3 linked regions of the Kluyveromyces lactis genome follow. The protein of the gene in region 1 interacts with the protein of each later gene in a pairwise test. Links are inferred from orthologs where the notes say so. Each region holds a gene or a part of one and is shown on either strand. Other genes may lie near its edges.

Region 1 (3,440 bases):
CACGAGACAAGGCCAAATTACCATTAACACGGTCCATTTCCACGAACCCATCAGCAGTGACGATTCTGGAATATTCAGACTTCAACGTAGGTTTATGATCGTACGATAACGCCTTAGCAATATGGTTTCTTGAAAGAACAGTTCTTGAATCCCCAGAGTTAGCACAAATCATTACATTTTGTAATTTAGAGATTAATAAAGTCGTTGCAGTGCATCCACTATGGTCGTTCGCTAACACGGGATCCTTCAAAAGCTCTTCATCTGTCGCAATAAAAGATTGAATAAGAGCCTCGTTGTAAGACTTCTTCTTGAAAGCATCCTGTTTTTGTAAAATCTTGGAGAACTGTGATCCACAGAACTGAGCAACGCTTGAACCACCATGTCCGTCAAACACACAGTAGTACGCCAAATGCTCCTTCTCATCATCAGAAATGTTCAAATCAACAATGTGAGAATCTTCCATAGACATACGCCATCCTTGCATAGCACATAACCCAAAAGCAGTCAAAACATCACTACCAGAATGTTGTTCCTTATCAATTACAGGATTAGACAAAATTTGACCCATTGTTTCTATTAAAAAAAGGCTTGTTATTAGTCTCTTCGTCCGTCCTTTCAACCAATAAAAAGGATGTGTCGACTGTATTGAAATTCTTGGAGAAACAAACTTCAATTAAACAGTACAGCAGCTTATTGTACCACCTTCTTCCAACCAATTGCTATCTTGATCCGCTGATATCTTTGAGGTGGCGAAATAAACAACTCTTCCTTTTAATATTTTCGTTTCAAAACAACAAAATTGCCGAAAACTTGTGACAAAGGTTTCACCAAATTCAACATCTGAGCAATGGAAAGAAGTGATATAGCAGGGACCCTACGGCTTTCATCTGGATTTGGGGGGACTTATCCAATCCATACTATCTGTGGACTGCTAAACAGCTTGAAATTGGGATTTCTAGCTGATCTTTGGCAATATTAGGACACAGTGTGCTGTATCTAGCGTTGGAATCACCAGATGTCCATCACGTGACTTCGTTCTCTCGGTTGTAGTCTCAATTACATAAAGCTTGTTCTTTCCCTTATAAGGACGGTTATTGCATCAGTGACTAAGTAGCTCGGTCATATGTATGTACTATTGAAGCATTGGAATTGACAGCTAACACCTGTCTGTGTACCATTTATCGTGTCTCTTTCACTTCATTATGACTCAATTTCATAGTATCCAGACTTTGGACATTGAAAAATTTAACAAGATGAGTTAAATGACTTGTCTATAAAACAGTGAGCATTGTGAAATATTTGGAGCAACCCACCATTGCAGTCCTAGATTTGAGTATATCTGGTTGTTATATTTAGGTAAAGAAGTGATTAGAGATATTCTTACAGAAATATACACTAAAAATGGCTTCTGATCATATTACTATTCAGCCATCAATTGAGGTGATTAAAGAATGCATCGCTGCTAATGATGATTCCATCAATATGTACCCAGTATACCACTTCATGCCAGCAATGGACCTTACACCTCATGTGGCGTATTTGAAAATGAGTGAGTTGAACAATAAGGAGAGGTCACCATCTTTTCTATTTGAATCCGCAAACGGTAACCAATTGAGTCGATACTCGTTTTTTGGTCATAGTCCACGTAAGATTATCAAGACTGGTCCTACTGAAGGTCAAGCGTGTGACCCATTGAATATTCTACAAGACGAATTGGCTCAGTATCGATTGGCTGAAAATGTTCCAGGCTTACCCAAGCTTTCTGGTGGTGCTATTGGTTATGTTTCTTACGACTGTGTTCAGTATTTTGAACCAAAGACGAAGAGACCATTGAAAGATGTGCTACAAGTACCAGAATCTGCTTTGATGCTATACGATACCATTGTTGCATTTGATCATGTTTTCCAAAGGTTCCAGATCATAACTAATATCAATGTGAAGACGGTCTCATCTTTGGAACAAGGTTACGAAGATGCATCTGAGATTATCAAACGCATTATCGCCATCTTGAAGGATGAATCTAGTCCGATACCATTACCTGAACAACCATCAATCAAATTGAACCAGACTTTCACATCAAACATTGGTCAAGAAGGATACGAACAGCACGTGAGAGATTTGAAAGAACATATCAAGAAGGGTGATATCATCCAATGTGTTCCATCTCAACGTGTCGCTAGACCAACTTCACTTCACCCATTCAATATCTACAAACACTTGCGTACTGTGAATCCCTCGCCATACTTATTCTATATCGATTATTTGGATTTCCAAATCATTGGTGCTTCACCTGAATTGTTATGCCAAGTTGATGCCAAAAACGAAGTTATCACTCATCCCATTGCTGGTACAGTCAGAAGGGGTCAGACTCCAGAAGAAGATGACAGATTAGCGGAAGAGTTGAGAAATTCTACTAAGGACAGAGCAGAACATGTGATGTTAGTTGATCTAGCCCGTAATGATGTGAACAGGGTCTGTGATCCAACCACCACTTCCGTGGATGAGTTACTTTCAGTGCAAAAGTTCTCTCACGTCCAACATCTTGTCTCTCAAGTCAGTGGTACACTAAGGAAGGATCAAAACAGATTTGATGCTCTAAGGTCTATTTTCCCTGCAGGAACAGTTTCTGGTGCTCCTAAGGTCAAGGCCATGGAATTGATCGGAGAACTGGAAGGTGAAAAACGGGGTGTTTACGCTGGTGCCGTTGGACACTGGTCATATGACGGAAAATCCATGGACACATGCATTGCCTTGAGAACAATGGTTTATAAAGACGGTATAGCCTATTTGCAAGCTGGTGGTGGTATCATATTTGATTCTGACCCATATGATGAGTACGTAGAAACAATGAACAAAATGAAAGCTAACCACAATACTATTCTACAAGCAGAGCAAATTTGGGCTGAGAAAGTTGGCACTCAAGACTAGCGCTGTATATGTCATATCCACTAATAGTTGAACCTGAACCTTTCCCGTTTCGTTCACAGTATGTATTCTATCGTGTATTCACATTAGACTTGTTATAGAATTGTAAAAAGGTAGCTTTAAGTGTACCATGGATGCACATATGAATGGATTAATGCCACTGGATAAATATACGAAAGGTAGGAGTAGGAATCTGGTGGTCTAAAGTACCAGCAGACGTCCTACTTCATACGTTTCTATCCAGCAGTTGCATATAATCTTTTCTTTAGGAAAATTTTACATTAAACCGATATATTCCAAGTGATGACAAGGAGATCACTGGCAGAGCATATTAAAGCAGAGGAAACTGACACTATCACTACAGCTACATCAAACCATAACTGCTATCCAGATGGCACCATCATCGTTGAATTTAGCAGTGTTGTTCACGCTGTCAGCATTATCTCTGACAACTGGATATTATCTTGGACAGATAACACCATCAAGGAAGGATGAGATACAAGAATTGTTGAAAC
Region 2 (3,353 bases), on another chromosome or scaffold:
CCCGTCTGCAGATTCAAACACATCGTTGGAACCGATGATAGAGAAGGGCAGTAAACCTCTGAGATATGTGTTTGTTTGATAATCTTCGTCTGACGCGTCTTCCTCATCGAATGGGAAGTTGTAGATAGGTAGCGAATAATAGTCGATATCCTTTGCGATCAATTTCTTGTTCAATTTCAACTCTTCAGCGGTCAAGGAATCTGCTTTACTGATAACGGGGATCACGTTCACTAGAGTACCTAGTCTTCTGATGAATTCCACGTCAATCTCTTTCAATCCATGTCCAGTAGGATTGATCAAATATAAACAACAATGCACCCTACCATCTTTAAACCGAGGATTTCTCCTTACACGGCTCTCTTCCAACAAAATTTCATCGTACTGGTGACGAATGTAATCAGAGATAATGTCAAACGATGGAGAATTATCCAAAGAGTCGCCGAATCCCGGAGTATCAATGATATTCAATTGGATCTTAAGACCTTCTTCGTCTTCTAACTCAACGATTTCTTCCCTCAATTGCACATCAATCTGCGTATTTGTGTCCGTTGGTAACATAATCGTGGTAGAAGTATCTACCACTTTCTGTCCACATAGAGTGTTAATGAACGTCGACCTACCGCACCCAGACTGACCAACAACCATCACCGTGAACTGAATTCCTCTCTTCAAGTTCTTCCGTTTACGCAAAGCGGCAGATGCCTGAATAATACTTGCCATTTCTGTCTAAATTACAATTGTAGCAGTGCTTTTGTTTCCCAATTCAATACCCCGACAGAAATTAGGTGCTAATAAGACCTCTGAGCAGCTCTTCTGTTAATTGTGTTGTTTACGTGTTAGTTGTTTGTTTAAAGTTTCACGTTTCCGATCTGATTCTAAATTCGTTACTCTGAGGAATCTGGAATTTAGTATGGAGGAAACAGAGAAAGAGTAGGTATTCGACGGTGAAAGAGCATTTGATGGATGATAGAGGGGCTCAGCTAATTGAACAGAGGTTATAGATTGTTACTTGGAAGTCAGATTACGGAATAATCAATCCAGCGATGCACAATTGCCTTAAGAATGTGGATTTGAATGTTGACACATCCGTACATCACATACATATTTATCATTTAGGACGAAATTCGATTCAATTTCTCATTTCATCAAAGCTTTCTCTTGACTCATCTCGAATTGTGATGTGGAACCAGTTAATCATCTCATGTTCAAGACGATTTTATATTTAAAGGAACCCTTAAAGGGCATTGAAATAATTGTAAGAAGAAACTTTCGATAATTTCTTATCGATTGGTTATATTTGGTTGATAATTATCTAGTAGGGCAACTACACTATACTGTGATAAAAAGGAACTAGGTTTTCGCATTAATTTGATATCATGTCCGCTAAAAGAGTTGTTTTGATCGATAACTACGATTCGTTCACCTGGAACATCTATGAATATCTTTGCACTGAGGGTGCTGAAGTTTTAGTTTTCAGAAATGATAAGATTACTGTGGAAGAAGTTGAAGCATTGAACCCTGATATTGTCATGATTTCACCGGGTCCAGGTCATCCAGAGACCGATTCCGGGATATCAAGAGACTGTATCGCATTCTTCTGCGGCAAAGTCCCTGTGTTTGGTGTCTGCATGGGTCAGCAATGTATGTTTGATGTCTTTGGCGGTGAAGTTAGCTTTGCTGGAGAAATTGTTCATGGTAAGACTTCACCAATATTCCATGATGGAAAAGGTTTCTTTAGAAAAGTACCTCAAGGTGTCGCAGTGACGCGGTACCATTCGCTTGCTGGCGCCAAGGAAACACTTCCTGATGTGCTTGAAGTTAGTGCAAGAACGGAGACTGGAATTATTATGGGTGTGAGACATAAGAAATACACTGTGGAAGGTGTGCAATTCCATCCAGAATCTATCTTGACCGAGAGTGGGCATCAAATGATCAAGAATATTCTTGAAGTATCAGGAGGTACTTGGGATGAGAACGCAGCTAACTTGGCTAGGAATGAGCTCGGAAAGACAGCCAGCACTGATAAAGCGAAATCTATCTTGGAAACTATTTACGAAAAACGCCGTGAAGACGTTCAACTGCAATCGACGATCCCAGGTTATCGGTTCTCTGATTTAGAAGCCAACTATAAGTTAGGTTTAGCTCCAAGGGTACAAGATTTCTATGCAAGATTAACTGCTACTGAGAAAACAGCAGTCTTGGCTGAAGTGAAGAGAGCTTCTCCATCGAAGGGTGACATTGATTTGAGTGTCGTTGCTTCAGAGCAAGCGTTGAAGTATGGTCAGGCAGGTGCTTCAGCGATCTCTGTATTGACCGAACCTCACTGGTTCAAAGGTTCCATTGAAGATTTGAGAAATGTAAGAAAAGTGTTGGAGGTGGCATTTGCCAATGACGAATCGAAAAGACCATGTGTATTACGCAAAGAATTCATTTTCTCAAAGTACCAAATCCTAGAAGCTAGACTTGCAGGCGCTGATACTGTGCTATTGATCGTGAAGATGCTTGACGACAACTTGTTGAAGGAACTGTACGATTATGCAAAAAGTTTGGATTTAGAACCTCTAGTGGAAGTAAACTCCGCAGAAGAACTAAAACGTGCGTTGGCAATTGGATCAAGAGTGATCGGAGTTAATAACAGAGACTTGCACTCTTTCAACGTAGATTTGAGTACTACCTCAAAATTGGTCAGTTCTGTACCAGAGGGAACCCTACTAATTGCTTTATCTGGAATAACAATAGCAGCTGATGCTGATCAATATAAAAAGGAAGGTGTTCATGGTGTTCTTGTTGGAGAAGCTCTCATGAGAGCTGAATCTGTAAATAAATTCATCGAGGAGCTAATCAACTAATGATACCAGTCCATTTCATCCTTCGTTATGTATGTATCCACCAACTTGTAATGATTGTATTTCTGTAATTTTAGATATAGACGTTAAAGTAAGAATGATACAGATACTATAAATTCAAAAGGTATCGAACATTAAAACTGGGAAGAAGAAGTCATAAAAGTAGAAACGTCATGGAGTAAATAAACATGAAAATGAAAGCTCTATACATTAAGGAATGTTCAATGCTAGTCCCTCTTGAAGGAATTTGGTTTAACGAACTTTGGATCAGGAACGTATCTAACACCTTTGAATTGTTTCTCCTTGTTATGCGTGTGCTCAGCAATCAAATACCCTAAATCGACTAACTTTGGCCAGTTCACATATTGAATACCCCTCTTAAATACGAAATGTGTGCATAAGACAACAATACTGAAGGATCCGAAAAAGAAAGATAGATTCTTCGCACTTGTGAAATGATTCTTGGGGAAAAGTATAGTTGCCATCATAACTGTGAGGGCAGCGTAG
Region 3 (4,262 bases), on another chromosome or scaffold:
CCTCGGTATCCAACGCTTTTTCTTCAACTGCGACATCCTCCTCTGACTTATGGTTTACAGGAGCCGCTTCTTTTATGCTCTCGCTTGGTGTATCTAAATCAAGTAAGGTATGTGTATTCGTTGATGGAAAACCTTCTGTCTTACCGACAACTCCAACTCTTTCAGCAATTGCGGCTTTACCGTCATTGATCAAAGTTTGCTTCCATACGTCTACTACAGTGTTGATGGATTCTGCCGATTCCCCGTATGTTAAACTTAATAGGGCAGCTTCTGGCACCCTATTAGATTTTAATAGCAAGTCCTTTGCTCCAGCTATGTCACCTGCTACCCAATAAGCATTGAAAGCTAGGTTGAACTTACCAGAAGTCTCAGCATTCTTTGCCAATGAAACCAACTCTTCCCTATTGTTGAATGAAGAATATAACAAGAAAAGGGATTCTAGATCATTTGCCTTTTCATAACATTGCAAAGCTAAAGTGAAATTGAATTTCTTTAAGGCAGCATCACCCAATTGAATCCATCTGTTCTCACTTTCCTGCTCGGACAATATTTCTTGCGCCAGTGATAGTCGGCCTAATTTAATAGCTAGATCAAACTTCTGCTCAGCGTCTGGTGAAATTTCTAAGGCATCTTCAAACAAATCTTGTCCCTCCAAAAATCTAGAGATCTTTAGCAAGTTTTCTTTTCCTTGAACATTAGGTAGTACGGATGATTTGGCCTCAGCTAGTTCGCCTCTGAGTACCAATGTCTCGAATTCCAAAACATCAATAGATAGTTCATAACCATAAACATGGATATCTTTGTCAGCCAAATAAACTTTATCATCTCTTGGCAAATAACCTAATAAGTACATCTGCTTATCGAAATGTGCAAGATTATAGATTTTACCACCAACAAAGTAGTTTAATCTATTTGTTGGGGTGGTGAAAATGAAGACATCACCAACCCACTTACCTGACGTGATACCCTCTGAAACTTCGTATAATACGTCAAACGCATCTTCTACACCATCTTCATCAATACTTCCAGCTGAAACCGCCTCATCGTAAACATCCTTATTGAACAACAGAGCGTAAGCATTAGCTTCTTCAGCAGAGTCTGTTTCATGGTCTTTGTTGATGATCATAACAAGCTCTCCATTATCTGACCAGATTATATCCTTAGCATCGACATCAATTCTTTTCACTAGATTACCTGATTCCCAATCAAAGAAATATACGAAGCCGTCAGCTTTGACACCTAATACTGAACCAGGGAAGATTTTTTCGACACCGTAATCAAGCGGAATTGACCAAGAAGATACTTGTTTGAAGTTCTTGTAGTAGGTCACTGCACCCGTTTCCGTGATTAACGCATAACTATTAGAATCTGGGCCCCATGCAAAGTCATGGCATTTGCCGAAAGCTTTGTTTCTCCATGCTAAAGCAGTGTACACAATGAATTCGTCATCACCAACAACAGTGACAAATCTACCATTTGGGGAATGCTTCAAACTTTGTGGGAAAACGTCGATCGACCCTAATTCTTTGCTTTGCAAAGGAAGGGCACCGCCTTCTTCTACCTCTTCATTACCTCTAATGATGGCAGAGAAGACGTCAGTGGCTGATGCTTTACCACCGCAATAAACTAACTTACCAACTGGATCCAAAGATAATTTTGGTTGATCATCACCTAGGGATAGAACTGTGAAACCATTGTCGAAACCCGATGCAATGTAATTACGTTTACCAGATGGATGAGTAGCGATACACCAACTTCTTTCAAGCCCGATGTTCAACGTTTTCTCTAGTTTGTATGTATTTGCATTCCAAATCTTGAGAGTTCCATCCTCGGAACCTGAGATAATGATAGGTAAAGTCGGATGGAATACAGCATATGACACGTTAGCCATATGTCCCTCTAAAGTAGCAACATTAGATTTTGTCTGGTAATCCCACACCTTGATGGTACCGTCATCGGAAGTGGTAATCAAATAAGGCTTATCTTGTAACGGGTAATAGTCGACATAATTCACACCTTTAGTTTCATGTGCTTTCAAGGTGAAATTTGGAACATCTTGACCAATCGACCAAACTTTGATAGTGTGATCCAAACAACCGGAGGCAAATTGGTTGGGGTCCTTTGGGTTGAATGCAACAGACATGACGAAGTGCTCATGACCGGTAAAGGTTTGTTGGCAGCCCCAATTCTTTTCCCAGTTCCATAACTTAATAGTCAGATCATCAGAACCTGTCAGAACGAATGGCTTCGTTGGATGCACAGCAATGGAACGGATATAATCAGGATGTGCTTCGAATTCGGTCACTTTTTCACCGGTGTTATAATTATAAACTCTTAATTTAAAGTCATCGGAACCAACAACAACCCAGTTCTTTCTTGCAATGAATCTACCAGCTCTCACTGGAGCATCACATAATGGAATAGATCTCACTTGCGTTTGCGTCTCGTAGTTCCATATCTCAATTCTTCCTGAGTACAAGGTAATTAAAACCCAAGGTTCCTCAGGATGAAAGTCAATGCCCTTAACCCTGTCAGTTCTGGCACTGAGCTTTTTCTAAAGACAAATAAAGTCACCATAGATGAAAAAAATGTTAGTAAAAGCTCTTTCTTTTAGTTGCTGATAAGGGCTGAAGAAATATAATCTGTTGAATCAAAACATAAAACATAAATGTATTGATACCAGAAAAACGCCTAAGATACTTAATATGCAATTGCTAACGTTCAACAGCGATTCTCCGTGATAAAAGCACCTCACAAATTACTCTAGTACACAATGTGTCACATACATTGATGTCAAGTTTCATTGCTAATTTCCTTCCGCTCTGTTGGGTCTCTACCTTCGATGTTTTCTTCAACTAACGTGTTAAAATCATGAATGGATCTTTATTATTCAAATTCCCCTTTCAAACATTTTTTTTTCAAAGCCGTTGATGGACATGGCATAGGACCGGGTAATGTTATTATGATATTGATGTCAGTGTCAGTGTCACATAAATAAAGCATCAACTTGAACCGTTTCGGCTCGAGAGTACTACGAGCTATATGACTTATTTCCCCTAATATTACATCAATCTTCTCCATTTTGTATTCAAAGCTAAAGTTGAAGAATATTACTAATTATTATATTTGTTCGACAAAGGGCGCGATTTAGGCTATTCAGCAGAACAACTGCTATTTGTCTTGATAGTCTCATTTTATTAGAAGCTACAGCAGTTGTGTGGTTTGTTATAGAATGAGTAAAGGTCAACTATGGTTGTTGATTCTCTTTTGTTCTGCTCTATTTTTTGATTTTGCTTACGGGAAAGCACTATACCCTGTTCATACAATTGATAAAGCTTGTGCGGTAGGTTTCAACTCTGCCAACATGAATATGAAGAAAACGTTTGAGATATGGAGTGGGGCAACGATTCCAGTAGATTCTTTGCCTGGAGATACAAAGCTCTTCACTGGATTTAAAGTACACAGGGTATTTTATTTTCACCAGCTATATAAAAGATCAGGGAAAGCTTTGAAGATAACTTATTGTAACGAGGGTAAAGTTGTCTTTGAAACTGAGAAGCAACTTACTAATGATGTAAAGGATTGGAACCAACCGTGGTGTTTTTTTGAATCTAAAGAACAGGAAAATCCCAATAATAGTTTGAAGAACTTTCATTGTTTAAAAATGGCCAGAAGAAAGAAGTATGCGATCCGTCCATTTGATGTTTTTATACCCTACACTTGGGTTGGCGGTTTGTTTTATTGTGATGTGGATATGGATGCCAAACAAACGATATTTCAATCTTTACAGAGTGATGGAATAAGTACATCAAATGCAATGGAATTTTGTTCTTTATCTAATTCGATACCAATTCAGCCATTGTATGCATCGACTTATTCTGATTCCTGGTCAGAAGTTATGGCTAAGAAATTAATCCCATTCATCACTCTCCTGTCAAAGCGAAAAACAAAGACATATGTTCCATACTTACAGACCCCGAATTTGTCTATGGCTCCGACTAACTTTAGTTTGAGCTCATATTACATGAATACAAGTATGTCCCAGATACCTGACTTCAAGAGCAAACTTTCCACAAAAGAACTTCTCATCGATTGGTATTCAAGAAGGAAATCCTCAAAAGAGTTGTCCTGGTTTCAAGAGATTGAAGTTTCAGAAAGATATCATTATGATAAAGAAGATAATTTCAAACTCACGTTGGCAACAGAAAAATTGAAAGATATTATTTCGCCTTTGCTTCAGCTTTCAACCATAGAACAGGACA

The links.
Region 2: the proteins of TRP2 (region 1) and TRP3 interact in binary tests that used the Saccharomyces cerevisiae proteins (3 or more experiments, as listed by UniProt). The link is inferred for Kluyveromyces lactis from reciprocal best matches to the Saccharomyces cerevisiae genes TRP2 and TRP3.
Region 3: the proteins of TRP2 (region 1) and SEC27 interact in a protein complementation assay, tested with the Saccharomyces cerevisiae proteins (2 studies listed by BioGRID). The link is inferred for Kluyveromyces lactis from reciprocal best matches to the Saccharomyces cerevisiae genes TRP2 and SEC27.

Annotation. Positions count from the first base shown.
Region 1 is NC_006041.1:1,779,948-1,783,387, forward strand, and holds TRP2 (anthranilate synthase TRP2), read left to right. Parts: upstream 1-1,401; coding exon 1,402-2,928; downstream 2,929-3,440. Other genes in the region: KLLA0_E19977g (PP2C family serine/threonine-protein phosphatase), read right to left, coding at 1-568; PTH2 (aminoacyl-tRNA hydrolase), read left to right, coding at 3,317-3,440.
Region 2 is NC_006038.1:1,259,350-1,262,702, forward strand, and holds TRP3 (bifunctional anthranilate synthase/indole-3-glycerol-phosphate synthase), read left to right. Parts: upstream 1-1,376; coding exon 1,377-2,849; downstream 2,850-3,353. Other genes in the region: septin CDC11, read right to left, coding at 1-720; phosphatidylinositol-3-phosphatase SAC1, read right to left, coding at 3,074-3,353.
Region 3 is NC_006038.1:169,188-173,449, reverse strand, and holds the start of SEC27 (coatomer subunit beta'), read right to left. Parts: upstream 2,805-4,262; coding exon 2,787-2,804; intron 2,555-2,786; coding exon 1-2,554. Other genes in the region: KLLA0_B01936g (uncharacterized protein), read left to right, coding at 3,233-4,262. UniProt on the Saccharomyces cerevisiae protein: The coatomer is a cytosolic protein complex that binds to dilysine motifs and reversibly associates with Golgi non-clathrin-coated vesicles, which further mediate biosynthetic protein transport from the ER, via the Golgi up to the trans Golgi network.